Linked DNA regions of Cricetulus griseus. The main gene of each other region encodes a partner of the protein of the gene in region 5 in a complex. Links are inferred from orthologs where the notes say so. Each region holds a gene or a part of one and is shown on either strand. Other genes may lie near its edges. The genes, in order: Sf3b4, Htatsf1, Rbmx2, Ppil2, Sf3b5, Sf3b2 and Srrm1.

Evidence for each region.
Region 1: Sf3b5 (region 5) and Sf3b4 share a complex: the UniProt entries of both Homo sapiens proteins name them as parts of the SF3B subcomplex of the 17S U2 SnRNP complex. The link is inferred for Cricetulus griseus from reciprocal best matches to the Homo sapiens genes SF3B5 and SF3B4.
Region 2: Sf3b5 (region 5) and Htatsf1 share a complex: the UniProt entries of both Homo sapiens proteins name them as parts of the 17S U2 SnRNP complex. The link is inferred for Cricetulus griseus from reciprocal best matches to the Homo sapiens genes SF3B5 and HTATSF1.
Region 3: Sf3b5 (region 5) and Rbmx2 share a complex: the UniProt entries of both Homo sapiens proteins name them as parts of the minor spliceosome. The link is inferred for Cricetulus griseus from reciprocal best matches to the Homo sapiens genes SF3B5 and RBMX2.
Region 4: Sf3b5 (region 5) and Ppil2 share a complex: the UniProt entries of both Homo sapiens proteins name them as parts of the minor spliceosome. The link is inferred for Cricetulus griseus from reciprocal best matches to the Homo sapiens genes SF3B5 and PPIL2.
Region 6: Sf3b5 (region 5) and Sf3b2 share a complex: the UniProt entries of both Homo sapiens proteins name them as parts of the SF3B subcomplex of the 17S U2 SnRNP complex. The link is inferred for Cricetulus griseus from reciprocal best matches to the Homo sapiens genes SF3B5 and SF3B2.
Region 7: Sf3b5 (region 5) and Srrm1 share a complex: the UniProt entries of both Homo sapiens proteins name them as parts of the minor spliceosome. The link is inferred for Cricetulus griseus from reciprocal best matches to the Homo sapiens genes SF3B5 and SRRM1.

Annotation. Positions count from the first base shown.
Region 1 is NW_023276806.1:60,350,631-60,355,043, forward strand, and holds the start of Sf3b4 (splicing factor 3B subunit 4), read right to left. Parts: upstream 3,066-4,413; 5' UTR 2,942-3,065; coding exon 2,908-2,941; intron 2,523-2,907; coding exon 2,394-2,522; intron 2,147-2,393; coding exon 1,604-2,146; intron 1,357-1,603; coding exon 1,150-1,356; intron 1-1,149. UniProt on the Homo sapiens protein: Component of the 17S U2 SnRNP complex of the spliceosome, a large ribonucleoprotein complex that removes introns from transcribed pre-mRNAs.
Region 2 is NC_048604.1:15,383,165-15,387,717, forward strand, and holds the start of Htatsf1 (HIV Tat-specific factor 1), read right to left. Parts: upstream 2,885-4,553; 5' UTR 2,742-2,884; intron 2,515-2,741; 5' UTR 2,459-2,514; coding exon 2,270-2,458; intron 667-2,269; coding exon 486-666; intron 125-485; coding exon 77-124; intron 1-76. UniProt on the Homo sapiens protein: Component of the 17S U2 SnRNP complex of the spliceosome, a large ribonucleoprotein complex that removes introns from transcribed pre-mRNAs.
Region 3 is NC_048604.1:20,792,324-20,796,852, reverse strand, and holds the start of Rbmx2 (RNA-binding motif protein, X-linked 2), read left to right. Parts: upstream 1-1,718; 5' UTR 1,719-1,757; coding exon 1,758-1,918; intron 1,919-2,086; coding exon 2,087-2,202; intron 2,203-4,473; coding exon 4,474-4,525; intron 4,526-4,529. UniProt on the Homo sapiens protein: Involved in pre-mRNA splicing as component of the activated spliceosome. As a component of the minor spliceosome, involved in the splicing of U12-type introns in pre-mRNAs.
Region 4 is NC_048597.1:72,241,629-72,245,438, reverse strand, and holds part of Ppil2 (RING-type E3 ubiquitin-protein ligase PPIL2), read right to left. Parts: intron 3,608-3,810; coding exon 3,490-3,607; intron 185-3,489; coding exon 128-184; intron 1-127. UniProt on the Homo sapiens protein: Has a ubiquitin-protein ligase activity acting as an E3 ubiquitin protein ligase or as an ubiquitin-ubiquitin ligase promoting elongation of ubiquitin chains on substrates.
Region 5 is NC_048595.1:275,868,375-275,871,114, forward strand, and holds Sf3b5 (splicing factor 3B subunit 5), read right to left. Parts: upstream 1,232-2,740; 5' UTR 1,083-1,231; coding exon 822-1,082; 3' UTR 538-821; downstream 1-537. UniProt on the Homo sapiens protein: Component of the 17S U2 SnRNP complex of the spliceosome, a large ribonucleoprotein complex that removes introns from transcribed pre-mRNAs.
Region 6 is NC_048596.1:54,019,647-54,024,152, reverse strand, and holds the start of Sf3b2 (splicing factor 3B subunit 2), read right to left. Parts: upstream 3,067-4,506; 5' UTR 3,033-3,066; coding exon 2,900-3,032; intron 2,729-2,899; coding exon 2,682-2,728; intron 2,239-2,681; coding exon 2,161-2,238; intron 931-2,160; coding exon 691-930; intron 1-690. UniProt on the Homo sapiens protein: Component of the 17S U2 SnRNP complex of the spliceosome, a large ribonucleoprotein complex that removes introns from transcribed pre-mRNAs.
Region 7 is NC_048595.1:17,934,232-17,938,041, reverse strand, and holds part of Srrm1 (serine/arginine repetitive matrix protein 1), read right to left. Parts: intron 1,648-3,810; coding exon 1,337-1,647; intron 1-1,336. UniProt on the Homo sapiens protein: Part of pre- and post-splicing multiprotein mRNP complexes. As a component of the minor spliceosome, involved in the splicing of U12-type introns in pre-mRNAs. Involved in numerous pre-mRNA processing events.

The DNA.
Region 1 (4,413 bases), on a different chromosome or scaffold from region 5:
ATGATAATACCAATAACTAGGCCACCAGGAGAAACCTCAGTACTGAGTGTTATGGCAATTTGAGTAAGTTAATAGGGAACAAAAGAATTTTAAGGAAATTCCTATGAATAAAAGTAGATCAAAGACAGAGAAAATTAGAGTCAAAGAGATAGGAGATTACCACAGTCAGTATATGTACAACAGAGTAAGGTGCTGGTTTGTGGCAACTGGCAGAAACATGTGTTAAACTTGCAAGTGGATGACAGTATACAAACTCCCAGAGTTGTGAACTTAGCTGCTACAAACAAGGGCTGTAGAAGGAGATGCTGGAAGGAGAAAAGTGAACTGTGGGTTGAGCAGCAGCCTTGTCTAGCCTGTCAAGAACCATGGACTAGAGACAGAAGGAATCAGTACCTGCACATTTAACACTACAAATAAACACTGGAAGAAGAACAAAGCACAAAATCTACACAGACAAAAAAGGGGGCTGACCCAGGTTGCTGAGGTTGATAAGTCACATAGAGGAAACAGTTTAATACATGCATAGCTCGTCATGTGTATAGTAGTGGTTAAGAAGCAGAAACAGGCCAGGCGTTGGTGGTGCACGCCTTTAATCCCAGCACTCGGGAGGCAAAGGCAGGAGGATCTCTGTGAGCTCGAGGCCAGCCTGGTCTACAGAGCCAGTGCCAGGATAGGCTCCAAAACTACACAGAGAAACCCTGTCTCGAAAAACAAAAACAAAAAGCAGAAACGGCTGCCCAGTGGTAGTGCCACCTTTAAACCCAGCACTTGGGAGACAGAGGCAGGCAGATCTCTGAGTTCAGGGCCAGCCTGGTCTACAGAATGAGTTGCAGGACAGTCAGGATCCTACACAGAGAGACCTTATCCCTAAAACAAAACAACAACAAAAAAAAATAAGCAAAAATGTCGCCTAGATCTGGCAACTGAGCTCCTTCCTGGGAATCAGAGGAGAGGCTGAGAGTAAAAACAGTAAGAACAGGCTATTCTGCAGAAAAAGGAAAAACCAGAGACAAGACGGGAGGGAGCTGAAGTACACACAGAAGTATTTTCTGAAGGAAAGGGAGACTCTAGACTATTTCCACCCAAGACAAAGAGCAGTGACAGAATCACTCTCACAAGCTCATCTCCGTTTCCCAGCAGACCACTTACCTGGATGGGGCATCCCACCTGGTGGGAATGGGTGAGGATGTGAGTGTCCGTGACCAGGATGCCCAGCTCCTGGAGTTCCTGCTGCTGGGGGGCCATGTCCTCCAGCCCCAGGTGGCATAGGTGGTGGGGGCATGGCTGGGGGTATCCCAGGAGGGAGGGCTCCAGGTGGCGGCACTGGAGGTGGGAAGGAGCCAGGAGGAGGCATGCCTATACAAGAAACGAGAGTCTATCTTGTGAAGAAAGAAAGACTGTCTTACAGAGCTCTAGCTTCCTTCCAGCACACTAAACTCCAGTCTCCCAAAGAAACCCAACATCTGCATCCCTTCCACCAGCACTCCTCATCCCTTTCTCGCTGCCCGCTGAGTTAACAGCTTACTCCCTCAGGGTTTCTTCTGCCTTCTGACCCTCCCTCCCAAGGGCCTCTCACTGGTGTAGTTTGAACTAAAAGCTTTACCTGGTGGAGGAAGCCCAGAACCCAGGGATGAAACCACAGGATTGGGGGCAGAGGGTGGAGGGGGTGCATCTGCGAACAGCTGGTGAGGACGGTCAGCCTGGGACAGCGGGTTCTGGGCTGCCAGAAGTCGTTCAGCTGCTGAGCCATGGCGCTCGCCTTTAGAGTCCTTCTTGAAGGCGTAAGACACAGTGATGGGTCTGTTACACAGGTACTGCCCATTCATGGCCTCAATTGCTGCATCCGAAGCATCAAAGGAGGCAAAATTAATGAAGGCATAACCCTTAGAGTTGCCTGTGTCAGGGTCCCGCATAATCTTGGGGGTTTGTAAGATGACCCCAAAGGCGCTGAAAGTATCATAAAGCAGCTTCTCATCGATTTCTGGGTCCAGGTTCCCAATGAAAATGTTGGCCCCTACATCCAGGTTTTTGTTGTGAGCTGAAGCCTTGTTCACCCGTATGGGCTTCCCATAGAGTTTGATCATGTTCATAATTTTAATAGCATAGTCAGCATCTTCCTCACTCAAGAATTCAACGAAGCCATAGCCTGGGGAATTGAAGAAAAGACTACTCAGATGAAGAGATTCAAAACGACACACTAACTCACCAGCCTCCAAACAAAGAACAAGTTGGAAGAATCCCAACTTCAAACTAAAGCTAAGAGACTACTCCTGAAACAAACTGCCAACTGAAGCTTAGAGAAAGAAACCATTCCAAAATAGCTGTGACTAGTGTTGAGATGCTTCAGGGGCCGCTAACCCAAAGTAAAGTCATTTCTTGCCGTAAATACTCACCTTGGTGCTGGCCAGTGACTCTATCCTTTGGCATGTGGGTGTTGACCACCGGCCCTGCCTGGAGAAAGAGCTCCCACAGCAGTGGTTCGCTCACTTTCTCGTCTAGACCGCCCACGTACACCGTGGCATCTAAAGCAAGAAAGCAGAAGGTAAGGACGAGGTCACGAGTTAAAAGGAAAACAGAAATTTAAAAAAAAAGTAACTAAAACCCTGAGATCACCCTTTGCCTGCCTAGTATAAAAAAACCCGCTCAAGTCTAATGTGGCGTTCTTGCGGATTGTGTACTTCCCGGTGGAGTTTCAATGATGCGCTTGGTAGCAGCGGGAGTGCCTACGGGAACCGGATCCAGAGGCATCACCCTCACAGGCCTCGGCCTCAACCCGGCCCCCAGGCCCAGCCCCCAGACGCGGGCCTTCCCGGGGAAACCTAGTTTCCCACGCTGGCGCTAACGCTTCTAGCACTCATCTGCCCTCCACCTCCCTGGGCCCACCTTGGGCTCTTCTCCCCCAATTACCCTGATTCCGTTCGGAGATGGGCCCGGCAGCCATGGCGAAGAGGCTCCCGCCGTCTCTAAGCGGCAGCACCGCCCTCTGACCTGTTACGACTTCCACTTCCGGGCCAAGGCTCCCATTGGGCGGGGCGGGCGGCAGGGGAGGAGCCGGAAGTGGCCGCGGCCATCTTAGGCGTCTGACGCGTGTCTGGAAAGACGCTGTGGTGGAGCTCTCACGACGCCCGGCTGGCGCCGAGGCGCTCAGGCCCCTCTTGACGACGCGGCTCTCGCCTGTCAGGCAGTCCCGCTGCTCCCCAGCCCAAATTTAAGCCCTAATCTCAGCCTTGTATGTTCTGTGACGCAGAGAAGCGTGCTGGGGGGAGGGAGGGGCGGGCCGGCTGCCTCGGGACGCAGCCTGTTACCTCAGTGCAGACGGAAGTGTCTGAGCCCCACTATTCGTGGGGTCATCTGAGGCACGGTGCCGCGTGTGTTCACGGTCAGTCTCAGCCTCGGGAGCACTCGGCAGCACCGTGCATCCCTCCCCTCCCACAGAAGAGACACTCAGAGAGCCTTCCTCCCGGGCCAGGACAGCCAGGGCTACACAGAGAAACCCTGTCTCAAAAAAAAAAAAAAAAAAAAAAAAAGGGGTTGGTGCTTCTTTCTCCAAATTTCGTCGGAATAGCCCCTCCTGTTTTGGGTCCTTAACTTCTTTTTTATCTATTTGTTTTGTTTCTCGAGACAGGGTTTCCCTGTGGCTTTGGAGGCTGTCCTGGAACTCGCTCTTGTAGACCAGGCTGGCCTCGAACTGGGTCCTTAATTTCTGTATCAATAATCTGGGTGCTTTTCTCTCAGTGCATACCCTCCCCCAACCACTTTACCGAGATCTTCATTCAACACAAGAAACAATACCAGCAATGTGTAGAAATACTGTGCTTTAATGAAGTCCTTAAATAGAAATACCACTACAAAAATATACAGTGGGAGGACAGGGTGTCTCCCTTATTTCCCTCATTCCCACAGAAGACTAAGAAACTGGATTTCAAAGCAGTGTGAGGGGTTGAGAATGAAGTCTCTGGGGCATCTTGTTGGAACTGATGAAGTGTCTCTGATCTCACAGTTTTGACAGTTTGTCATCTAAACGGCATGGAATTGCCAGAGAAAAAAAGGAAACGTTCTGAAGTGGTTTTGTTTCTTATTCCAGAGAAACAAAAATAGCTGGAGGTTGGTAGCTCCATGTCTGCTACAGAAACTCACTCACGGAGTGAGCTCCTTTATGGGCTGGAATGTGAAAGCTTGAAACACTGAGGTCAGATACAAAGAAACATGAGCAGAACTCCCTCCACATTCCCTCTGCCCTGCCTTCGAGAATGCTAGCAGTCTCAACGGATCTGAGAGAGGATGGTATTTGGATCTCTCTTCTTGCAGTGATCCTCAGGAGATATTCTTGGTGTCAGTTTTCTTAATAGTTCCTGAAGACAAGAGAGTTCATCCTGGAGGCCAGAGATTGTAAGAGCCGAGGAGCCCATCTGG
Region 2 (4,553 bases), on a different chromosome or scaffold from region 5:
AATAAAAATCACTTAGCACAAAGTCTCAACCCTAAATGTTTCCAACCACAAAACTGCATTAAAAAGGGATAAATACCTGACACGTATACATTTGTATTTCTATCTTCTTCAACATGGAACCATCCTAAAAATCAAAATGAAATAAATAAAACACTTGCAAATAACAAGAATCACATTATGAAATCCTGGTAGTGGCAGCTTCTTAAAAACTTTTAGAATGTTCTCTTTATTTAAGAAAACTAAGTCTAACTCAAATCATTACCCAGCTTTCAAAAATACATAAACTTCTTGATTGAGAATGTTTTAGGGCTCTCTCTGAAAAAGAAAAAGGCTATCTCAATTCTTAATGACTTTACGCCTACATAAAAGTGAAAACTTACATTATGTTCCTTCAATGCTAGTATAATCCTCCAAAATGTAAAATGTATTTACACATTTTCCTATTTCTTTTTTACACCCAGGTTTTGCAAAACAGAACCACTTGCCTGATTCGGCCTTTCTCTTTTCTCCCCTCTTTTTGGAGTCAGTGGTTTCTGGGGTTTCTCTTTGTGGAGGTTCTTCTACTGTCTTTGGGTTGGGGTCCTGGACATTCACAGTAGAACTAGATGCACCATCACTAGAAAAGCCGTAATTAGCCTGATACGTAGCAATGAAATCTTCAGTGATCTAGATGGGTTAAGTCAGCACATATGCAGACATGGTTACTTCATGTGTTATACAACTGTACATTCAGTAATATAATCTAAGACTTTAACAAGTGTTTATGCCAAGGGTAGTTGTAATAATTAAAATATAATAGGAGAGCAGTCATCTTATATAGAAACTGTAACACGAAAAAAGTACGAAACTATGAAAAAGTGCTCAAACTACCAACAAAAAAGTATGAGAGAATTTTAAGTGATGCTAGCACCTTTTCTAGTTGTCTTATAAATTCTTGCTTCTCCACAGTATATCTGACTAAGGTGGCCGATACAGAGAACAAAAGAAGTATCAAATAATGATACAGAGTAAAACCAAAAGTCAACTAGAAATCTAATCACAGAATCCACTTTTGGATGCACAAAAATACGTATGTACACTAAGATTTTTATGTTTATGTATGAAGCTGGAAACTGCTAGAACACAAAATGCCCATTTGAGTTTGAGCACTAATTCAGAGAAACGCTTAGTGACAGAACAAAATCAAAGGCAAGCCTGATACACACCCATCGCCCTGGCTTTGCAGGGGAACCCACTATTGTAGAATGGCTGAATGGCTGAATGAGTTATGAGTTATGACTATCACTTTCAGGTACACAGAAAAGTGAAAATTTTACCCCCAAAGTTTGAAGAACCAGGGTTTTAAGTAACGTAAAAGATAAAGTTACCAAGTAATTGCCGTCGGACTATTAAAAGGGCTCAGAAGGTAGAAGAAATCACATCTACATTCAAGGTGGCATTACAAGTCCAGAAACGGGATAGCAAATTTCAACAATTTGGGGAGCTTGAGATATGGACAAATATAAAATAAGAAAGAATAGCTGAAATACTTTTTAAACTAACACTCGGTCTACACAATGGAGACAAGTTTTTTTGTGATTGGCTCCCAAGTCACTTGACGGGCTGTTCGTAACCTTTAATACTAATGCCCCTCCTAGGCTAAGACTAACAGCGTACTTTCTCCATACAGCTTACACTAGTTATTTCCACGTTGAAATTAAACACACAGCAATTTCCAAGTACTCAAAACGAATGTAGAGACCTTTTCCAACCATTTTCTGTGCTTTCCCAGTCATATTCCTGTGGTTACAAGAGTCAAACTTAGATGCCCTGGAACAAAATTCAGTAGAAAAATAAACCAAGACGCAAGGAAAGTTTATTCAATAGAGTGGGGTAAAAGCCTTCTTTCCCGCCCCCTAAATCAACAAGCTGCATTTTATCCACAGCATGGACACTAGACATCTCACAGGTTTGGCTATACAGGATAAAACGGTTACAAATGTGTTTTCCTTGGTGTTTTTCCTTTTGGCAATAAAAAGCAGTCATCAATATAACGCCTGTGACCTTCACAAAAATTAATAAGGCATAAAGAACATTTCAGGCACCACCATAAGGTTTTCTTTCCTTTATACATCGGATACTGGAACGGACGGAACAGACGAGCCATCAAGCAGCGGTTCAAGGACCTAGTACTTGAGAAGAGCAAACGTAAGAGGGGGTGTCCGGCAAGGGTGTCCAGGGGAGCCCACAGCCACGCTCCGCAGCGGCAGTCCAGCCACCCTTTTCTTACCTTGGGGAACCAAGCCTTCTTGTCAAGGTCCCACTCGTAGGGAGTGTCATCCTGCGGTTGTCCCCCCGCAGATTCCGTTTCTCCGGAGGCATCGTTCGGGGTGTCACCGTCCTTAGGGTCCCCGTACAATTCTTGCATTCGCAACTGTTCGTCAAACTCGTCGTTCGCGCTCAAGTTGTTGCCACTCATGTTTCTGAAGCGGGGCCGGGAGCAGCGTTCAGAGACGTGAAGAGGCCGACAGGGCGCTGGAGAAGTGAGAGAGCCGGAGGTCGGCAGAGCTCAGGTCGTGTGCGGTGCAGCCCCCTTGGCCCGCCTCCCCGCAACGCCCCAGCAGTCCCTGGGAAGGCTGAGCCGCGCCGCGCCGCGCCGCGCCGCCCAGGCTCCGCCCTCCCGGCCGGCCCACAGGCGCGCGCGCGCGCGCGCACTGGCGTTCCGAGGCCGCCGGCGGCGCAGTGGCCGCCACCCCACCTACCTGGCGGGCTCGGCGGGGCCTGGACGCCCCCGCTCGGGCCAGGGCGAAGCGGAAGCGCGCAGGCGCGCCGTCACCGCCACCGTCGGCTCCGGAGGCACCACAGCTCCCTCCCGCCTCAACAGGAAAGTCGCTTGAGAACGGAGTCCGCCTCAGGCCGATGCGGTCGCCATTGACCGCGCGTGGCGACGTAGCGGGTCGCGCTGACACGCCCACTCTTGCGTCAAATGGCCGCGACGCGGGGCGGGGGCGGGGCGGGGGCGGGGGGGGGGGGCGGGGGGGCGGGGCGGGGCTGCCAGGGAAGGCTGCCGCCGGAGTGTCCGTGCACCCGATGGGGACGCAAGCCTGCAGGAATCCATGACACCGCAGGGGCCTTGGGCCCGGCGGCGTCCTCTGCACTTTGGACGAGGCGACAGCCTCATTCTGACAGCAGTGCTGGCGCGGGCTGGGCTTTGCGGCAACCGCCATCTTGGGGAGGTGGGTGGGACCGTGGGGACAAGTTTCTCCCGCTTCGCGAAAGCCATGCGCCTCTTTTCACGCCAGATCCCGCCCCTGCGAAGGAACCAAGTATATCGTTTTGAATTTCTTGTCCTACACTACACGACACACGGCTTTTGCTCATCTCAGTAACCCAAACCAGTAACATGCTGTTTGGGATCTAGCGAAGAGTGAGTGAATAAGTGACTGAACATGGGCAGAAGGTCCCATCACCTCCTAAGCTCACCCCCTTTTTATGCATCTGGTAGCACCTTCCCTTCAGGTTGCAGTTGCTGAGGGTAGCAGTTGCCTGCATCATACTGCAAGGTACCAGAGGTGCTGAGGCCTGGAACTTGACGCTTGACTGTAAACATCCCCGTGTACAAATGCCAGCTGGACCATGTGGCTCGGTTTCTTGTCTCTTAGAAAGGCAACCAACTAACTGCCATAAGCAGAACTTTTCCCCAAAATACTTCATGTCTCTCTACACGACAAGGGGTCCATGTTTTAAAACAGGCAGGTTTATACTGCACTCCTATTAAGTGCCAGGCACTGGGGGAGGTTCTGGGACAGCAGTCGGGAAGACAGGCACAGATAAGGGAGACTCACTTATGATTTGGCGAACAATAAAATAGAAGTACCAGAAGCTGGAGAGCAGACATCATTTTGTTTTCAGCATCCTTTTATACTCAAAAACCTAGAAAATTCCAAAGTGTTTGTTTTAAATGTGGATTGCGGTTATCAACAATATTTGTTGCTGTAATCTTAACTATGCAAGTAAAATTTTAATTCATTAAAAGTAGCAATGAACTCTGTGTAAACATCCATATTATTACCCAGAGGTTACTTCAATTCCAGTCACCTTTGCTTGTAAATGCAATGGTTGGGTGGGTTCTAGAGCACCCTGGCTCCTCACAGACCTGTGAATCTGATTTCAACATTAACCATGTTTTTTTAAAACAGTTTTTATTTCCAAATACATTTATTTTTATGAGGTTCTTTTTTGGTAGAGCTGTTGGAGAACTGAATTTGTTGCTTGTTGTGATTTTGCTAGGTTCGTTTAAACATTACTAAGTATTTCTTGCTTTGATCTGGAAATGGTATAAAACTCTTTTCACTACTGTTGTTATTGGGCTTCCATTTCATTCGGGAGTACGTTTACAACCCAGGAGAGATACTGTCTACATGATCATTACTGCACAAGGCACACACTCTTTTTAAGTAAAATTTTATTTAAATTAGAAACAAGCTTGTTTTACATGCCAATTCCAGTTCCTCTCCCTCCCCTCCTCCCCTGCCCCCTACCAACCCCTTATCCCATGCCCTTTCTGCTCTCCA
Region 3 (4,529 bases), on a different chromosome or scaffold from region 5:
CTTTTTGAATAGAAGACCAATAGCACAGGAACTAACACTATGTTTCAACAGATGGGACTACTGAAAATAAAAAGTTTCTTTAAGGCAAAGAAAATAATCAGCAGAGTTAACAGACAGCCCACAGCATGGGAGAAAAACTTTACCAGCTGTACTTCAAAGGCTACTATTCAGAATTTACAAAAAAATTGAAATTAAACACCAAGGAAATAAATTTGTCAGTCACCAAATAAGTTCACTATCCATAGTCATCAGGAAAATGAAAATTACAAATAATGAAACAAAATTTAAATAAGAAATAGAAATTACTACTTTGAGATACCACCATGAGATGTCACTGTCAGAGTGGCTATGGTCAATCAATCTGAAAACAAATGTTGGGGAGGATGTGGAGAGAAAAGAACCTTCATTCTCTGGTGGGGGTGGGTGAAAACCAATACAGCCATTGTGGAAATCAATCTGGAGAGTTTTCAAAAAACTAAAACTAGAACTACCATACGACCCTAATATTTCACTCCTGGGCTTATATCCAGAGAACTCCCTGTCATAGAGATATTTGCATCCTCATGTTTATTACTTCTTTATTCACTATAGTAAATAATTAGAATCAGCCTAACTGTCCATCAACATAAGAATAGGTAATGAAAATTTGGCATATATGAAAGGTGGCAAACTATTCAACTATCAAGAAAAAATAAAATCACAAAATTTGTAGAAAAATGGATGCGATTAGAGTGTATTAAGTGAGGTCATACAATCTCAGAAAAACTCTGCATGTTTCCCCCTTATATGCAGAATTTAGCTAACAATATACACATATACGTGAACAAATGTACATGTGAGTGCCATGTAACATGAAGAAAAAAGAACAAGAAAGGCTAAATATTAGGTGAGGATGGACTGAATGCAAGTAAAAGGGGATATAAATCAAATTCTTATAGCTCTAATGATATCATATTTTTTGGTTTTGTTGGTGGACAAGTGAATAAAAATATATTTGATAGTGACAGCCTAAAATCCAATGTGAAGTTCCACAGCTTCTGTTCTCAATGCTATTCTAACAGTATAGAAGTCCATTTGAGTCTTTGGGTCTGGTTAATTTCAGTGTTTAACTTGCAATCGTTTTTGAAATAATGAAGTTTAAAATAAAAAAAAAATAAAGTCAGTTAATCCAGTAGGGCGTGTTGATCACGAGACAGGGTTTCTCTGTAGCTTTGGAGCCTGTCCTGGCACTCGCTCTGGAGACCAGGCTGGTCTCGAACTCACGGAGATCCGCCTGCCTCTGCCTCCCGAGTGCTGGGATAAAAGGCGTGCGTCACCAAGGCCCGGCGTAAGACCACATTTCTTACGTAAATCTGTGGGTATTTAATTGGGTCTGTAGAGGCACACTGGTCCGTCTTTAATATTCGAGCGGGGAAACAATTCTCATAGCTATTTTCTTTACTTTTCTACTGTTAAATCCCAAACAGGGAGGCTTTGAGGGACTATTTTTGAGCAATTGCCATGGAGGGAAAGAACAGGGCTTTAGATTGAGAGAACAGGGAGTTTCGTCACCCTATCAGACACACTACTTCATTCAGAAAACGTTTAAAGCTAAATCAAACAAAAACTATCCAGAAGCTGAAGGTCCCTTAAAACCCCGGACCCCGCCCCTGGTCTACGTCACTAGGGAACTAGTTCCCTGACTAACTGACTGGAGAACTACTTCGCCACAGGAGCAAAGGGCACTAAGCGCGAGAAAGGCTTCCACGCTACTGCGCATGCGCCAAGTCTTAACGTGCCGGAGCGGAAGTTCCAGCGGAAGTTCCGCCTCGAGTTCGGCCGCCTCCAATCTGAGCTGGGTGATCGGTTGTGCCCGCCCTTCGTCGCCTCACCCGGAAGCTCATTTCTTGAGAGAAGAGCGCGAAGGCGCGAATATGAAGTAAGGGCTTCGTTTTTTTCGTCGGGAAGGGGGAGTGGGTTGCGGACAGTTGCCCACAAACGGTGACGGGTCCTCGCCGGGGCGGTGGGGCCTTCAGGCCTCGGGGCGGGAGAAGAAGGCAGGCTGGGAGGAAACGAACTTTTAACGAAGTCTTCTCCTCCCGCGCAGCCCTTTAACTAAGGTGAAGCTGATCAACGAACTGAATGAGCGAGAGGCTCAACTCGGGGTGGCGGAAAAGGTGTCTTGGCACTCGGAATACAAGGACAGCGCCTGGATCTTTCTTGGTGAGGGCCACAGTTTTCTCTAGCAGTGCCTTTCGGAGTCGCTGCGACCCACCCCCCTCCCGCTCCGGTTACTTAGAGCCCCTGCTGACCACGCTTGTCACCCACACAGCTTGTCTGCCCACAGTCCGTTTTTTATTCTCTTTTACTCGTCCTTTTCCAGTTATCTTTTCTGATAACCAGTGCTTTTTTTTTCTTTTTTTTTTTTTTTTTTTTTTTTTTTTTTGGTTTTTCGACACAGGGTTTCTCCCTGACTTTGGGGGCTATCCTGGAACTTGCTCTGGAGACCAGGTTGGTCTCGAACTCACAGAGACCCGCCTGCCTCTGCCTCCCGAGTGCTGGGATTAAAGGGGATTAAAGGTCTCGCGCCACCAGCGCCCGGCTTAGCCAGTGCTTCTTAGAATTGGTATTTACCATTCATTGCACTTAAAGGCTTTCCACTTAGCTGCCCAGAGACAGTTAACTCCACAGCCAACACATTACGAGGCCAAAGAAAGTGCGGTGCGGACAGGTGACTAGAGTTCTTTAAGGTTACATACTACATACTGCAGCACTATGAGATTAGTGGTCATTATTTTCATTTTTACTGTCTGCCCCTCCGCAAAACTATTTTCTCCTGTGATTGACTTTTGCTTCTAGTACTTTGCTGATTGTTGGGTTCCTGGACAGACAGTAGCCATCTGGAAAATATTTCGTGTGGACTCCTCACTCAAAATCAGCTTTACTCCTGCTTAAAATTTAGAATGTCATCTGAAAAGGTCGCGGTATCTAGGCGTGTTCATTAAGGGAAAGCTATACACCTGGTGAAAATACAGTCCACATTCCACTCTTGGTCCTGGGTGGATATGATGGGACATTTTAAGCAAACCTAACTGCCACATACTAGTGTGTCCCTTCCTTAAGACTTAATAAAGTTGGCCAGGAGTCACCTGTCAGGAAAGCTCATTCACCTGAAGACATGCTGAGGACATGGAAGGAAAATGATCCCCTTAGTGAAGCAATGTCCCGCAGGAGTTCCTCACTGCACTTATTACCTATTGCTGTTACATCTGTCTGCTGTTCTGACATCTAACTTATCCATCCCCTCCCTTTCTAGCCCTTCTTTGAATATTGTCTGAAATCCTGAGCATGCTTGCCCTAACACTCTGGACTTTTTCTTATTTCAAGTCTACAGGCTCTCCCGTTCCCTTGCAGCTGTTTCTTAGCCGCCATTTTTGAGCATGCCTGCCTGCATGGCCTTCTGATTAACTACGTATTTCTTCGTCTTGTCCATCTCCCTCCTCCCAGTAGCTGGTAAATTTTACAACTCACCTCCCCATCAGCTCTCTCTCAAATGCTAATAAAATGGATCTCAGGCTTCCTCAGTCTGTTTTAAAATTACTGACAAGACTAAGAGCCTACAAAGGGGAACTCTTAATATCTCTGGGAACAATATTACTATCCTTTGTTCACTTTATGTCACAACCAATAATCCTGCAGTTTGACTTTTGAAAGAGGCTATTTCACTAGATATTGTGTTAAGCATTTTATATGCACCGTTTTATTTTGTGTTTATAACATTCTTGTGAGGCAAATATACTGATAGCCCCTTTTTACACAGGAGGTAAAAAACATGGAAGGCAAATAATTTCCTGTGACTTGCCTAACAGTTTTCTTTAAAATTCTTAGTTTACACATAGGTGAGCATAACAATAGCATATTTGAACTCAATGTTTGTGAAATCTGAGTCTTGTGCAGGAAATTTTCTGTTTTATAGGAGTTTGGATGTGAGGACTGAATGAGATTAATTTGGAAGACAGGCGTTGGTGGCACATGCCTTTAATCCCAGCACTCGGGAGGCAGAGGCAGGTGAATCTCTGTGAGTTTGAGGCCAGCCTGGTCTCCAGAGCGAGTGGCAGGATGGGCTCCAAAACTACACAGAGAAACCCTCTCTCAAAAAACCAAAAAAAAAATTAATTTGGTAAGTGGTAACCCCTTTCCACTTAGACTTAATCACTTTTATTCCTGTTTTTGGAGACAATCTCATTTTGTAGTTCTGGCTGTCCTGGAACACACTCTGTAGACCAGGCTTGCCTAAAACTCACAGAGATCCAAGAGTTAATTGCTTTTCTGCTGGACTGTTGTCACTTTTCATCCTCTGTCATTGCATTAGACTGATTTTTGTGAGTTCAGGGCTTACTCACTCTGCACCTCCAGTATCTGGCCCAGTGCATAATATGCAGTAAACACTTGATTAATGTTTGCTGACCTGAACTGTGCTTTGTTTTCTTCTAGGAGGGCTTCCTTATGAACTGACAGAAGGAGACATCATCTGTGTGTTCTCACAGTAA
Region 4 (3,810 bases), on a different chromosome or scaffold from region 5:
CTTGGCTCCACAGGCCTGAAGAGCCAACCTTCCTCCACAGAAATACCCACAGTCCTCACCGGGGACTGCATGAGGATAATCCCCAGGTCCACACTGCACTGCGAACATGCACAGCATCTGCTCTTACCGTCCGAAGATAGTGTGCTTCTTATCCAGGTAAGCACAGGAGCGAAATGTGATGAAGCTGGGGAAAGCACATGGAGGTCAGGGAAGCAGCAGGCTGGGCCACCCAGCATACTCTAGTTGTAACAACGACTGCTCCTCAGTGGAAGCCACCTGCCCTTTCCCAAGTAAATCCAGACCTCTGGAGAAATCCCAGAGCTCGGCTGCCAACATCCCATGAGAGCCAAGCAGGAGACAGTGGAGGCTTGAGCTCGCTATCCAACTATCTTCAGGAGGCAATGGTTAGGGGTGAAGTAAACAGGCCATGTATGTGCAGCCTGGAGGGAGCCCTAGACTATAGCCTATAAGTGGGTGACAGCAGAACGCTGGAAGACATCAGACAAAAGGAGGAAAGTACAGCTGGGTGTGGTGTGGGGACTCACAGTGAGCCCTCATCCCTGAATAAAATAAATACTATGGAAAGCAGGAAGTTTATGGGATGGGTTGCAGTGCAGTCCCTACACAAAGTGGTACATGAACTCAGCCCTATTGTGACAACAGGACACAAGCCTCATCCTGACAGCCCACAGAGACCCTTCAGTGAGTAATGAAGATGCATCACCCTGCAAGCAAGGGCACTCCTAAGGTCACCAGGCAAGTCATGGAGCCCACACCTATGCACAGTCTAAGCCTTCACACTAGCTGAACTCCTGTTATTGCCATTGGAACAAGGGCTCATTGGCTATGCTATGGAACCAAGGATGACTGAATTGATCAGACCTAGCTCTCTTGAATTTCTAACATAATAAAGGAAGCTAGAAAAAGAATGAAATGAACCTGGAAAAAAAAAAAAAGAGGCAAGTAAAAAAACAACAAAAATGCAACTGGAATATTTAGGTTTTGTTCAAGTTTTTGAAGAGACTGTAAGGAAATGCTGACAAAGGAAAGCTGTCACATGTCCTGGAGAAAGGGCTCAGCAAACAAAAGTGAGCGCAGCTCTTTCAGGGTACAAACTCAGCCCGTGCCAAAAGAAAATGACTCTACGTGCACACCTCTCCTAGCCATACAAAGCAGCAACAGCTCAGTCACATGACTAGAGACAGATTTAAAAACTAGACCTCTGACAACAGAGCCACCTATCCTGACAAATGTTAGACTACAAAATCACATTTCATTTGGAGCAGGACACACATGTGCCTACCTCCAACACCCAGTGACAATGTGACTGATGTGCACATGGGAAGTTGAAGATGTCTCCTCTTCTGATAAGTTCAAAAATCTACAAAGAAACTCTTCATATAAACTTAGGAGAAATGACTCTGCAATTAAAAGCACTGGCTGCTCTTCCAGGACAAGAGTTCTATTCCCAGTACTTACACTCACAATCACCTATAACTTCAGTTCCAGGGACCAGGCCCTCTTCTGTCCTCCTCTGGCATCAGGCACAAACTTACATGCAGTATACAGACATACACGTAGGCAAAACACCCATACACATTAAAAAAATTTGGTTTTGTTTTTCAAGATAGAGTTTCTCTGTGTAGCTTTGGAGCCTTTCCTTGAACTCACTCTGTAGACCAGGCTGGCCTTGAACTCACAGAGATCCGCCTGTCTCTGCCTCCCAGATGCTAGGATAAAAGGCATGTGCCACCACCGCCTGGCTAAAAAATTTTCTTAATTTTTTTTTTTTTTTAAGATTTGATTGTAGGGGCTGGAGAGCTGGCTCAGCAGTTAAAGAGCACTAACTACTCTTCTGGAGGACCCAGATTCAATGCCAGCACCCACATGGCAACTCACAACTGTCTGTAACTCAAGATCCAACACCGATACCCTCGTACAGACATACAAGCAGGCAAGACACCAATGCATATTAAAAAAATTAAAAAAGAGGATTTGACTAGCTGTGTGATGGCCCACACCTGCAATGTCAGTACTCCAAGGCAGAGTTCTAGTACAACCAACCAGGGCTACATAATGAAACTTTGTATCAATATAAGTTGGCATGGTGGCCCACACCTTTCATCCCAGCACTCAGGAGGCAGAGGCAGGAGACTCTGAGAGTTTGAGGCCAGTCTGGTCTACAGAGGAGTTACAGGACAGCCACGGCTACACAGAAAAACCCTGCCTTGAAAAAAAAAAAAAAAAATCAACAAATACTAAAATTCCTTTGTATAACATTATCCAGGAAGTCAGAAGATCCACATAAAGAAAATGACAAAACTGAGCTGACAAGCTGGCTTGGCATGTGAAGACACCTGCTGTGTTAGGCCTGGCAGCCTGGATGTGATGACTGGATGCCATGGTGGAAGGACAGTCCTGACCCTACAAAGCTGTCATCTGACCTCCACACGCACACTGTGGCATGAATACCCTCACATAAAATAAGCTGTAATCAGCTGTGATGGGGCATGGTTTTGTCTTTTTTTAAATGATAGCCACCTTTAAAGATACCTTTCATAAACAAGATAGTTAAAGAAGAAATGGACAGAACATTTTTTAAAGATTTTTTTTTATTATTATTTTATGTGCATTGTCTGTGTGAGGGTGTCAGATTCCCTGGAACTGGAGTTATAGAAAGTAGTGAGCTGCCATGTGGGTGCTGGGAATTGAATCCACATCCTCTGGAAGAACAGCCAGTGCTCTTAACCACTGAGCTATCTTTCCAGTCCTGATGGTGAAAGTTTTTAAACACAGCACCCAGTATACAGAGACAGGCAGAAACCAGCCTGGTGTACACAGTGAGTTCCACAAGAACCAGGACTACATAATGAGAACCGGTTTCAAAATATTTTTTAAAAAAGAAAATAACAAAACTATACTCCATAGATAAAAGATATACCCTGGATGGAGACAGTTCTCAATGGTAGAACATGTATTTAGCATGCACAAAGCCTTGGGTTCACACCCCAGCACAAAAAAGAAAAAAAAAAAGACATATCCAGGAGAATTAAGCCACATTATTTGATTAAGATTTGATGAAGAATAGAATACAATACAAACCTATTCCAAAACACAAGACCAGACATCCAAGAGCCTTACCACCCACCACCACACACACTGGGCTCTGATAAGCCAGAGCCTTAGTACCTCTTCCTGGCCTTTTGTCCTCAGAATACCTCCTCCCAAAGCACTGGACCAGCAACCTTGCATGGCACCTGGTACCCACACACTCCTGGTTTTCCTGTTGGACCCCAAGAGGCCTTTGGGAACCCACTCATGACCACTATTCTACCAGCTGACTTGGGCTCCTTTCCTGGAGACGCCTGTGCTCCACCTGACTGAACACCCCCTTGCTTGGATTTGACTTGGGCCCAGCACAACCTTTAGGGACAACGCCAGGCGCTTTGCAAACCATCCTAGCAGCTGAGCAAGAAAAGCTGGACTCACAACTGAGACTTGTTGGTGTTGGGCCCCGAGTTGGCCATGCTGAGCACTCCACGGCCTGTATGTGAGAGGTTGGGGCGGAACTCATCTTTGAAAGGCTTGCCCCAGTAGGACTCTCCACCTGGAACAGAAGAGCAGAGTCAGTGGTCAGCCACAGAGCCTTGTCCAGAAGCAGAAGACAGCGACCAGGCCCTGAGACACAATTCTTGATGACCCCTAGATCCTAGTGCCTTCCTCAAGCTGGAACTGCTCACTCACCCTGTGGGCCAGGGGCTACAGGGCCAAAGATACAAGGCATCATTCAAACACATGGATGGAAGTCAT
Region 5 (2,740 bases):
TGGCTCTTACCGGTTTTTTCATGTGATCTTGAACTCAAGAAATCCTTCAGCCTCTGCCTCCTGGGTGCTGGGATTAGAGGTGTGTGCCACTCCCAGCGACTCATTGCTTTTTTGGTGTTCCTTCAGTAACTTAAAACACACCAACGAATGCCCTATTAGATGGTAAGCAACTTCCCATGCTCTGCACGGTTTTTCTCTGGATTCCGTAAAATCTTTTCTCAAATGTCATCATCGCAATATCTTAGCATTACAAGCATAGTATTTAAAATTGCGAATTCTTCAAGCTTCCTCAATCTCCCTGCATCATCTAGCCCTGGTCTATTTTAGCCTTTCTCCAAATTGGCATAATGTATGCCCCCAAACCTTTGGAAAACGCTCTGGTGAACACTGAATGAAAAAAAAAAATCCGTTCTTCATTTCTGAAGACACACAGACTAACTCTCAAGAAAAACAGATGCAACGTGCAACATCTTGAGACCTTGGTCCACAGCACCCTCCCCAGACCCCACCCAAGGAACACAGCAATCCACACCAAAAGATAGGACAAATCCTAAACTTTATAAACATGGCAAGAAGGACAACCAACTACTGAAAGGCAGACTCATTAGAAACGCGTCATCACTCCCGTGGCGTCTTCTCCCTCGCTTGCCGGGTCTAGGGTCGCTCCTCCCGCACAGTTCCCGGGGGTCCCGACAGTCTCTCGGTGACTTGTTCGGAATCGTCCACAGGTAAGCAGGCCAGGCGTGACAGACGATGAAGAAGCCCGAGCAAGGAGGACCGGCCCACCGCTGGCCGGCGGGGGAGCCTGGGAAGCGCTCGCCTCAGTTCTCCTCGGGCTTGTCCGCCGGCGGCCCGCTGGGCTGCAGCATCTTCTCCATCAGGTTGAAGCGCACGCGGGCCTTGCTCTCGTTCTCGGCGATGGCGAAGTAGTTGAGGAGGTCGAAGTGACCCATGTAGGAGCAGTAGGAGTCCCGGTGCTGGTTCACAAGCCATTCCCACTTGGTGGTGTCGGCGTGGCCCGTACCGATGTACTTGGACTGCAGATGCTCCAGCTGGCTGTGGATGGTGTACCGGTCCGTCATCTCGCCGCTCCGCTCTAGGCTTCCAGATCAGGCCGCAGACCCGACGCTACCCGCTCCGCGTTCAAACCTGAGAGACGCCGCCGCCGCCGCTGCCGGCCCGACACGGAACTTCTATCTGTGTAGGCGCGGGAGAAAGACGCCACTGTGGCGCCTGCGCAGACGCTCTTCTCCCAGGCGGAAGCGGAAGTGAATCCTGCCGCGGCATTGGAGTTGCCTAAGAAACATTGGGCCGTCCCCTCAGCGAGCCCGCCTACTTGGAGAGCGTTGCATGATGGTCTGCTGAGTGGCTCTTGGGTGATCACGTTCTAACTCCGGCGTTGCATTCTGGGATTTGTAGTCCAAAGAATTTGGCGTGTTTTTTTCTTTTGGTTTGGTTTTTTGTTTTCTTTTTCTTTCTCTCTCTCTCTCTCTTTCTTTCTTTCTTTCTTTCTTTCTTTCTTTCTTTCTTTCTTTCTTTCTTTCTTTCTTTCTTTCTTTCTTTCTTTCTTTCTTTCTTTCTTTCTTTCTTTCTCCTCCCTCCCTCCCTCCTTTCCTTCCTTCCTTCCTTCCTTTTTTTTCTTCTTTTTTTTTTTTGCCTGACTAATGTAGGATGGTGTCCAACGATTACGACTACAAGTGACCAGGAAAACTATCTCTTGTACCTAGAAGCTCACACGGACCGCCCTTGGTCCCAGCTTTGTCCCTTAGGATCTGGGTAGTGGGAAAAGTTCTTTGGGTCCTAAATGCTTGGTGATGAGTGTCAACACCAGGTGTCTTCCACATCAAAATCCAGGCTCCAACTCCTCACACCACCCAGGGGCCCGAGCCCTCCAACCAAACAACCTCCTAACTTTAAGGCTGCTTACAATCATTTTCTGGAAGTCAGTTGTGTCTCAAGACAAGTACTCTCTCCTTCTGTTTTTCTGCCTGGTTACACCTTATGTTCAACTTAGAGGTTATGTATCTCCTCACAAAGGTATAAACTACTTGAGAAAAAGATACTGTACTTCTTTTCTGATATCCTTTGAGGATATTATATAGCTTGATGGAGATCGTATTCTTTAAAAGAAAAATCTGATGAATGGACAAAGAGCAATCTCAGTCAAAGAGACTGATAATAGGGGAGGGCCCAACCTATTACAGTGGGGACACCCCTGGGCTGGTAGTCCTGAATTGAATAAGAAAACAGACTGAGAAAGCCACGAAGAGTAAGCCATTAAGCAGCACCCCTCCATGGCCTCTGCATTGGCTCCTGCCTTCAGGTTCCTGCCCTGCCTACCTTAGATGATGAACTGTGATACGGAAGAGTAAATGAAATAAATCTTTCATCCCTGAGTTGCTTTTAATTATAGTGTTCTGTCACAGCAAGAGAAACTTCAACTAAGACAAGTAGAATCTGCATGAAAATTCTGTTAGTAAGAAATAAATCAAAAATTAGTGCAATTCCAGTGCCATTAAGAATGCCTCAGGCAGTGGTGGCACACACCTTTAATCCCAGCGCTCAGGAGGCCCAGGCAGGTGGATCTCTATGAGATTGAGGTCTGAAGAGGTCTACAAAGTGAGTTCCAGAACAGCCAGAAACCCTGCCTCGAAAAACCAAAAACAAAAATAGATAAATAAACATAAATAAGTATAAGAATAAAAAGGACTTAAGAATGTGAGGTAATCCCTGGATTCCA
Region 6 (4,506 bases), on a different chromosome or scaffold from region 5:
TCTTTCCTTTCCTTTTTTTTTATGATAATCCTCTAGAAATAAAAATCATTTTTAGTTTATATGCCACACAAAAGCAGATGCACAATTTGCTAACCTCTGGACTCTAAAAAAAAAATGGAAGTACTGGAACTTAGTTGGTTATGAGGTAGCCTCCAGGGCAAACTTGAATGAAGTGTCTCGTTTGGACACTCTATAATGTTAAATGGCATCCTATGGATGGACCATGATGTTAAAAGTTAGGGAGAGCCGGACGTTGGTGGCGCACGCCTTTAATCCCAGCACTCGGGAGGCAGAGGCAGGCGGATCTCTGTGAGTTCGAGGCCAGCCTGGTCTCCGGAGCAAGTGACAATAGGCTCCAAAGCTACACAGAGAAACCCTGTCTCAAAAAAAAAAAAAAAAAAACATAAAAGTTAGGGAGAGAAATATTACCCTCTTCTGCTGCTCTAAGAGCTATGTTCCTTCAATGAATGATTTCCTTGCTTAAAAAAAAAAAAACTCATGCCAGCAACAATACAACCAGGCCAATCTGCCAAAATTCTTGCTTCTAGGATTCTCTGCCAGCTGTTACCTAGGTCTTGGTCTTCAACCAAGACCTTCCTAAAAGGCACAGCCTCCGGGTCTAGCTTTCTGGGGTTCCATTTCCCCATCAGGGACCTAAGGTGACCTAGGTAAGGTTTCCACCTGTCCTACCTGTTTGGCACGTTCCTCTTGCTGCATCAGCAAAGCTGCCTGCTGTTGTGCCAGCTTCAGCCGTTCCTCTTCTGATAATGCCACAGGCTCACCGACTCGGAGAGGAGGTGGGGGACCCAAATTTGGTGGGTGAGCCATAGGAAAGCCAAGGCCAAGGCCTGGTGGAGGTGGTGGAGGTGGAGGAGGAGGTTGTAGAGGGGGGAGTCCCATAGGTGGTGGCGGCATAGGAATCCCAGACAGCTGTGGAAAAAAATATATAGCTATGAACTAGAAAGCATTTATTCACTTTAGAAGCATTTTCTAGCTAAAGTTCTAAAGGGAACTAGCAAAAGAGCCAGGCATTCAAAGTCTAGTGATGCAGAACTCAAGAAAATGCACCATAGCAGAATCAAGAGAAGAAAAGGCTAACTTTAGAACACTGATCAAACAAAGCTATTGGGTCCTCTGAAATTGCATTCAATTTAAGAAAATACAAGAACACCTCTAAAGTCTATACAGGCACTTAACAAAACACAAACACACACACACACACACACACACACACACACACACACACACACACACACACACACACACACACACACACACACCCCACCCACCCAGGCCAAAGCCACTAGTTTAGAGGAAGACACTCAAATACTGGATTCCAAAGGAACTTAAACAAATAGGAACCAGTACTGGAGAGACTGGACCAGCAGTTAAGAACTGCTCTTGAATCACAGGGTTCAATTCCCAGCATCCAGATAACAGCTCACAATCCTCTGTAACTCCAGCCCCAGGGTGATCCAAGCCCCTTTATGGCCTCCTGTAATGCTGCATGCACATGGTGTACAGACATGCACGCAGGCAAAACACTCATATGCATAAATATGTGTATATATTCACATACACACATATATACACACACACATATACACACACACACAGATACTATTTTTGAGATACAATTTCTCTGTGTTCTGGCTGTCCTGGAACTCACTCAGTAGACCAAGGTGGCCTCAAACTCAGAGATTCACCTGCCTCTGCCTCCCAAGTGCTGGGATTAAAGGTGTTCACCACCACTAAACTTTAAATATGTTTTTTTAAAGAAATAGAAACCAATGTGCCAGGGCACAGACTGTCAATGAATTACTAAATGCAGGAGGTATATAATAAAAAAATCACAGCATTACCCCTTAAAGTGTCAATGAATAACTTTGGGAGCTATGCCTGATAACAAAACACATGACTACATCCAACTGGGAGAGAACCAAGTATGAATTCTAGGTATTCAAGTTGACTCTTGAATGACAGGTCAAATTTAGAAGAGCAGACATTGCGGACTGATGAATACCGGCACAAAGCCAGAAGTGAAAAGGCCCCAATTCTGTCTCATCAGACCCCACCCTTAATTCACTATATTCTTATCTCCAGTGCAATGCATGGGAGAAAGGTTATCCTGAACAGAATGACCGATAAACAGTCTCTTACCTGTGCTGACATAGGAGGAGGAGCAGCTTTGTCCCCATCTTCTCCCCTTAAAACAGGTCGATTCAGCACAATGCCCGTCTACAAAAGAAAAGAGAACTGTGTGTCAGACTAAGAGGGAACTATTCCATTGCACGGCCTCCTCCACCATTTATTTAACAAAGTGCACCCGATGCCCGTTTGCCAGAGATTGGGGCTGTAACCTTTACAATAAAGCAAAGGCAAAAACTGACAAAACGGTCAAGACCCGACTTGCCGCGATGAAGTACGTAAGAAACGAAGACCCAGCCGGGCGTGGAGGCGCACACCTTTAATCCCAGAGCACTCGGCAGGCAGAAGCAGCCTGATCTCTTGAGTTCCAGGCCACCCTGGTTTACTGAGAGAGAGTTCTAGGACAACCAGGTGTACACAGTAAAACCCCGCCTAAAAGCTTTTTAAAAAAATGTAAAAGAAACGAAGACCGATCCGTGGCCTATCTTAAAGGCCTCTAGGAAAAGTAATCTTCAACTCCTGCCACAACTCACCTGGCGGGTGTAGGTCTGCAGCCGCTCAACCAGCTCCTCGCGACTCCCTGCGGAACCAAGCACAGAATCCGGGGTCAGCACCAGCCGGAACAGCCCGGCTTGGCCAGGTCGGGCCCCAGAGGCCTGTCTCCGCCCCCCGCCCGTGAGTCTCCTGGGTAACCAGGTCCCACTGCCCCGCAAGCCCACGCAGCCCCCTTTGACCGCCCCGGGAGCCTCACCCTGGATCGGAGCTCCTATTTCCGCCAGTTTGGCCTGAAGCTCCTGAGCAGCCCAGGCGCCATAGTGGCCTGGAGGTGGCGGCGGCGGCAACTGCAATTCTCCTTTGGGAGGCTCTGGATGCTCCGCCGCCATCTTAGCCACAAGAAGGCGCGCGACCAACACGGAAGCTCGGATCAGCCACCGGGCCTACTTCCCGGAACTTCCGGCAGAGCACTCCGCCACGTCCCGCGGTGATTGGAAAGCACTTGATTCAGACACCCACTCACTGCCTTTCGCTGGGAGATAGGATTCGCCGCTAACAAAGGCTGCACGGCCTTCTGGGAGTTGTAGTCTACGGTTGCACCGCCTAGAGGCTGGACGCTTGTTTTAACATCCCGTACCCTGTGGTAGATCCGCCGCTAGGGCCCTGAGAAGACCCGGCCCTCCACCCATTGGTTCCTTTCTTCTTCTCCTCACCTGCCCAAACGCATACTAAGTCTTCTGACCCGACACTCTCGGTGATGAGGTACCTGGATGCTTATTCCACCCAGGAGCTCATAGAGACTGCTTTCCGGCGCCCGCCAAGTGGGAGGTTGGAGCCGATGCCTCTGATAAAACAGTGTCCGATTGTTTGCCTGCTCGCTCCCGGCCCAGGCGTGCTTGAATGGGCTGAAAGGGGATCGGAGCCCGTAGAGGAACGGACCCGCCGGGCTGAGTTCCAGCTGCTGACTTGGGGGAAGGGCGATACCAAAATCCCTTTTCCACATTCGAGAAAGGCTTAAGAAAATGCCTTCTCTGCCAAATGTTTCCTCTCCTTTCTAGGAGCTTTCATACCACACCCAACTTTCCACCTTTTGTTTTCAAAACGAAATGTGCACCACTTGCATGCCTGATGTCTGTGGAGGCCAGAAGAGTGTCTCCTGGAACTAGAGTTACAGACGGTTGCAGGTCCTCTGCAAAAGCAACAAGTGCTCTTAACGCCATCTCTCCAGTCCCAAGGTTTTCGTTGTTTAAGTAAGTGTATTACAAATGTGAGCCAATCTATTGCCCCTTTTTGTTTTTTTTGTTTTTTTTTCGAGGCAGGGTTTCTCTGTGCAACAGTCCTGTCTGTCCTGGAACTCGCTCTGTAGACCAGACTGACCTTGAACTCACTTGAGATCCGCCTGCCTCTGCCTTCCAAGAGCTGGGATCAAAGGCATGTGCCACCCGCGCCCAGCTGTCCTGTTTCATTTTTAAGTCTTTCGTACCCTTTATTCCTACCTCCATTCCCAAAACAGGAGCAAGAACTTGATCTTTTTCTATCATGAAGCATCTAGCATCCAGGAGCCACCTAATAAATGATTGTGTGGGGGGGATCTATCCCTGGGATTTTATCTTCTTATAGGAAGAAAACACTCAGACTCTTTTCTTGGGTGGAGACCCCATGACCCTTGCCTGCCAAGCATCCACCCATTCATTTTGTCTCCTCACTTCTCCCTTCTAGTTCTTCCTCCACTCTCGATGCAGCCTGTTTGTTCTTGTGTGTGATGAATAAGGGAGACGAACACAAATGGTCTCATTTCTCACCCACACACTTCAGATCTTTTCTCTTCCTAGCCACCTCCGTTTCACCAGCTGTCCCCAAGGG
Region 7 (3,810 bases), about 260 Mb from region 5:
AACTAGTCTCTGTTCCCCACAGCAAACCCCTTGATTATGAATATCCATCACAGGCACAGGAAGAAGACATCAAAACAGGAGAGACTGGCACTGTGCAGACTGGTAAGTTTGGTCCCCAGCACCCAAGACTATCTCTCTAGCCACAAAAACAAACAAGCAAGCAAGCAAACAAAGTAACTAATAAATCCCAACTGCCTATTTTAACCAAACTCCTTCTGTTTGGTATTTTAAAGTAACTCTTCTCTATAATCTAAATAGAAAAAAACATGTATTTTTCTAAAATTATAGTGGGAACACTTAAGATTGTCTTCCTCTTAGAGAGCTTTCTAGCTCTAAACAAAAGAAACATTTACAAGTATAGAGTTCACAGGGAACGACAAGCAGGCTAGGGCAGTATCAGGCTGAAATGTCCGCATTTTATATAAATATGGTGCATGTTAAAAAAAAAAAAAGCTGTCTTAAATACCACATCTTACTTGTCACTGGGTCAACTTAGCATTAAAGTAAAAATAATAATAATAATAATCCGCACATTACTTTTGCAGCTTGCCATCACCAGCAGGTCCTCTTTCCATAGATCACTCTCAGTCTAACAGTTTAAAAGGGGCAGCTAGTGTGGTGCACCCTTGAAATCCCAGTACTTGGGCAGCCGATGGGCCTGCCTGATCCTCCCGCCCCACTACACTCACCTTTCAGGCTGCTCTATTACTCCAGCCCTAGCACCAAAGGCACTATTCCAATGGATCCTATCCTCTCTCTCCACGTCCATTTTAGTGCTAAAACCCCAGCAAGTTACAACTAACAGACTAACCAACATTCTATGTGGCTGGCATAATCACAGGTCATCAATTTCTTAGAAACCAATCTCCTGAAGAGTGAAGACAGCACCCAAGAACCCTGCCTAGACCCTAAATCAATCAGTCAGTCAGTCATCCCTTGGGAGCATAAATGTGACCAAAAAGCGTAACAGAACATAAAGTTCTCAAGTAAGATACCAAACAAAAAGCCTTAAGAAGGGGTGTGGGGAAGATGGAATAGTTAATTGGTCTCAGAGTAACCAAATAAATTCTTACAGTAAGAAGACAAATCCCAATTGTTACCCCAACTCAAACAGCTCCAAGCTAGTGATCCACTTGCCACCTGCCCACACAAAGGACACTGGAAAAACAAACTACCTTTACAGACAGCCCCCGGCCCCCCGCCAAACACCTGAGAACAGAAAGGCAAGGCAAGCCATTTACATTGTTACATAGAAAGTACTGCCTAGCTGCTTCTGGAGGTGGAACAACTGGGTTCACCCTGATGCCAGAGAACAAAATGCTTTGTGTGTTTTTACCTTTACCCGAAGTTCTTCCTGGAGACACAGAAACACGACTTTTTCTTGTGCGGTTTGACTGCTGGGGGGTGGGGGAATGGCGAGTTTTAGGTGGTGGAGTTGTTGGAGATGATGGTCTGTGCCTTCGCCTTGGAGGACTTGCAGAAGGAGATAACCTACGAGTTTTCCGAGGTGGGCTGGAGGTCCTCTTGGGAGGCTTTTTTGGCGGTGACCGGGAACGAGATGACGAAGACGAAGAGCTACTTCCAGACAACGATGCAGAAGAACGCCTCCTTCTGTGGAATAGAGCATTCATCTCACTGCCTGCATCCCTATGAAGAAAGACTCCACAGTGTGTACAAGGTGCACAAAAACACGGCTAGTTTTTATCCAACTTTGGAGTTTATGTAGCTAAGTACACAAATTACTTCAAGAAGATTGGAAGCAAAACCATAACCTAGGACAGGAAACAGCTATTTCTGAGAGTAAATACACTTAACTCATTCTGATAGTGTTTGAGCTGTGAGTGCTATAATTCAGTAACGAAGCAGCCTCTTCCTGAAGAGTGATATTGGGGTTATGGAGTTTGTACAACTTTGGGGGTGAGAGAGTATTGCTCATTCAGAGTGATGTCAAACAAGTTGCACTAAAAATATGTGCAAGATTTGAAATTCATTTAGCTACATAAACTTAGAAGTAGGGGGGCCTCTCGAATTCTGCGGCAAAATCTGTGGTTAAGTTCTGTTGCAATTACGTGTACCTGCAGAATTCACCTTTGGCAGAAGAATTCCTGAGAACCTGAAAAAAAGAAACCCTACCTTAAGTGTGAGATTAAAAACTGGCTGAAAGGGAATCTTACACAATCTGCAAAATACTGTGACTGCTAAATTGTTTAGTGCGCACTATTGAAACACGCTGTTTGCAAAATTCCACAATGTAAGAAATTGTAGTTTCTTTAATAGTGTACTAAGGAGCACTGGCATTACTTCTCTCCAAAATAGAATGATCAATGTGAAAAGTGTGATGTCTGGAATTCTGCCATATACACGTCTATCCTTGCCCACCAGCTCAGCAGCAATTATATGCGTTTAAATACTGGTACCTGGACAACACTCTCCAAAGAAGATGGTATTCGTTGTTGTTGCTGTTAAAGTATGGGTCAGAAAGTCCCTACCTGCACAGATAGAACTTGGAGGAGCTTATGATGTTTCCCCATTTTCTAGCTGCTGTGGTTCTCTGCAAAAAACATTAACTTAACAGCTTTTCCAGGACTTGGGGTGACTTCAAGAGGTGGAGCACAGGCTCAGCCCTGGTTCAACCAGCAGCAACACAGAAAAATAGACAACAAAGTTCTGTCCAAAGCAGATTTGAAAAGCCTGTCAACACAGTAAGGCAGACAATTCTGTTCCTGGGCACAAGGCCTCATTTTGGATAAAGTTAGATACAATCTTATTGTTATAAAATAATGTATCTAAGATTAAAACATTTTATCTGATACCCATTTTAGGATGGTTAAACAAATTAAACATTTCAGCAATGTTTAAAATGAGTTAGTACTATTGACTGAATTAGAGAATATCTAATTGTCACAAATGTAGCTATTGTAAATTACTAGGAATGGCTGTTTCAAGCTTTCTTGTTGGACTATCATTGGATGGTTAGTCCACAAATAATGGCCTGAGACTTATTATTAATTATGAAAGCTTGGCCTTCGCTTAGGCTTTTCTCCCAACTAGCTCTTGTAACTTAATTAACCCATAGTTTTCAAATCTATGTTCTGCCATATGGCTCAGTTACCTCTTCTTAGTATAAGGACACATCAGACACATCTGACTTGTTGGCAAAATCCACACACCTAGATTCCTCCTCTATCATTTCTCTCTCTCCCTTAAGTCCCACCTATCTCTCCTACCTAGCTACTGACCAGTTAGCTCTTTATTAAACCAATCAGAAGGCACCTTAAGCAGACACATCTTTATAGTATAAACAAGTATTATGCAACAGCTCTATCTAGGAATGGAATTATGGAGAACTTTTCCTTTTATGCTACCTCTGAGCTGTTACAAAAGCTTCATTACAAGGGTGGAGAGATGGCTTAGCAGTTAAAGCATTAGGGCTGCTCTTCAGAGGACACAAGTTTGGTTCCCAGCACCATCAGGTGGCTCACAACTGCCTACAACTCGAGCTCCACGGGATTTGGAGACCTCTGCAGGCAGCTGTGCTCTCATGCATGCATTTACACTCATGCACGGGAGCACACACACCTCTACACATATTCAAAATATTTTTTTTTTTTTTGAGACAGGGTTTCTCTGTGTAACAGCTCTGGCTGTCCTGCAACTCACTCTGTAGACCTGGCTGTCCTCGAACTCAAAGATCTGCCTGCCTCTGCTTCTGAAGTGCTGGGATTAAAGGTGTGTGCCACCACCACCCGGCCAAAATAAATCTTAAAAAAAGAAGAAGAAGAAGAGAGAATCACTGTAAAGGCCCTTGCT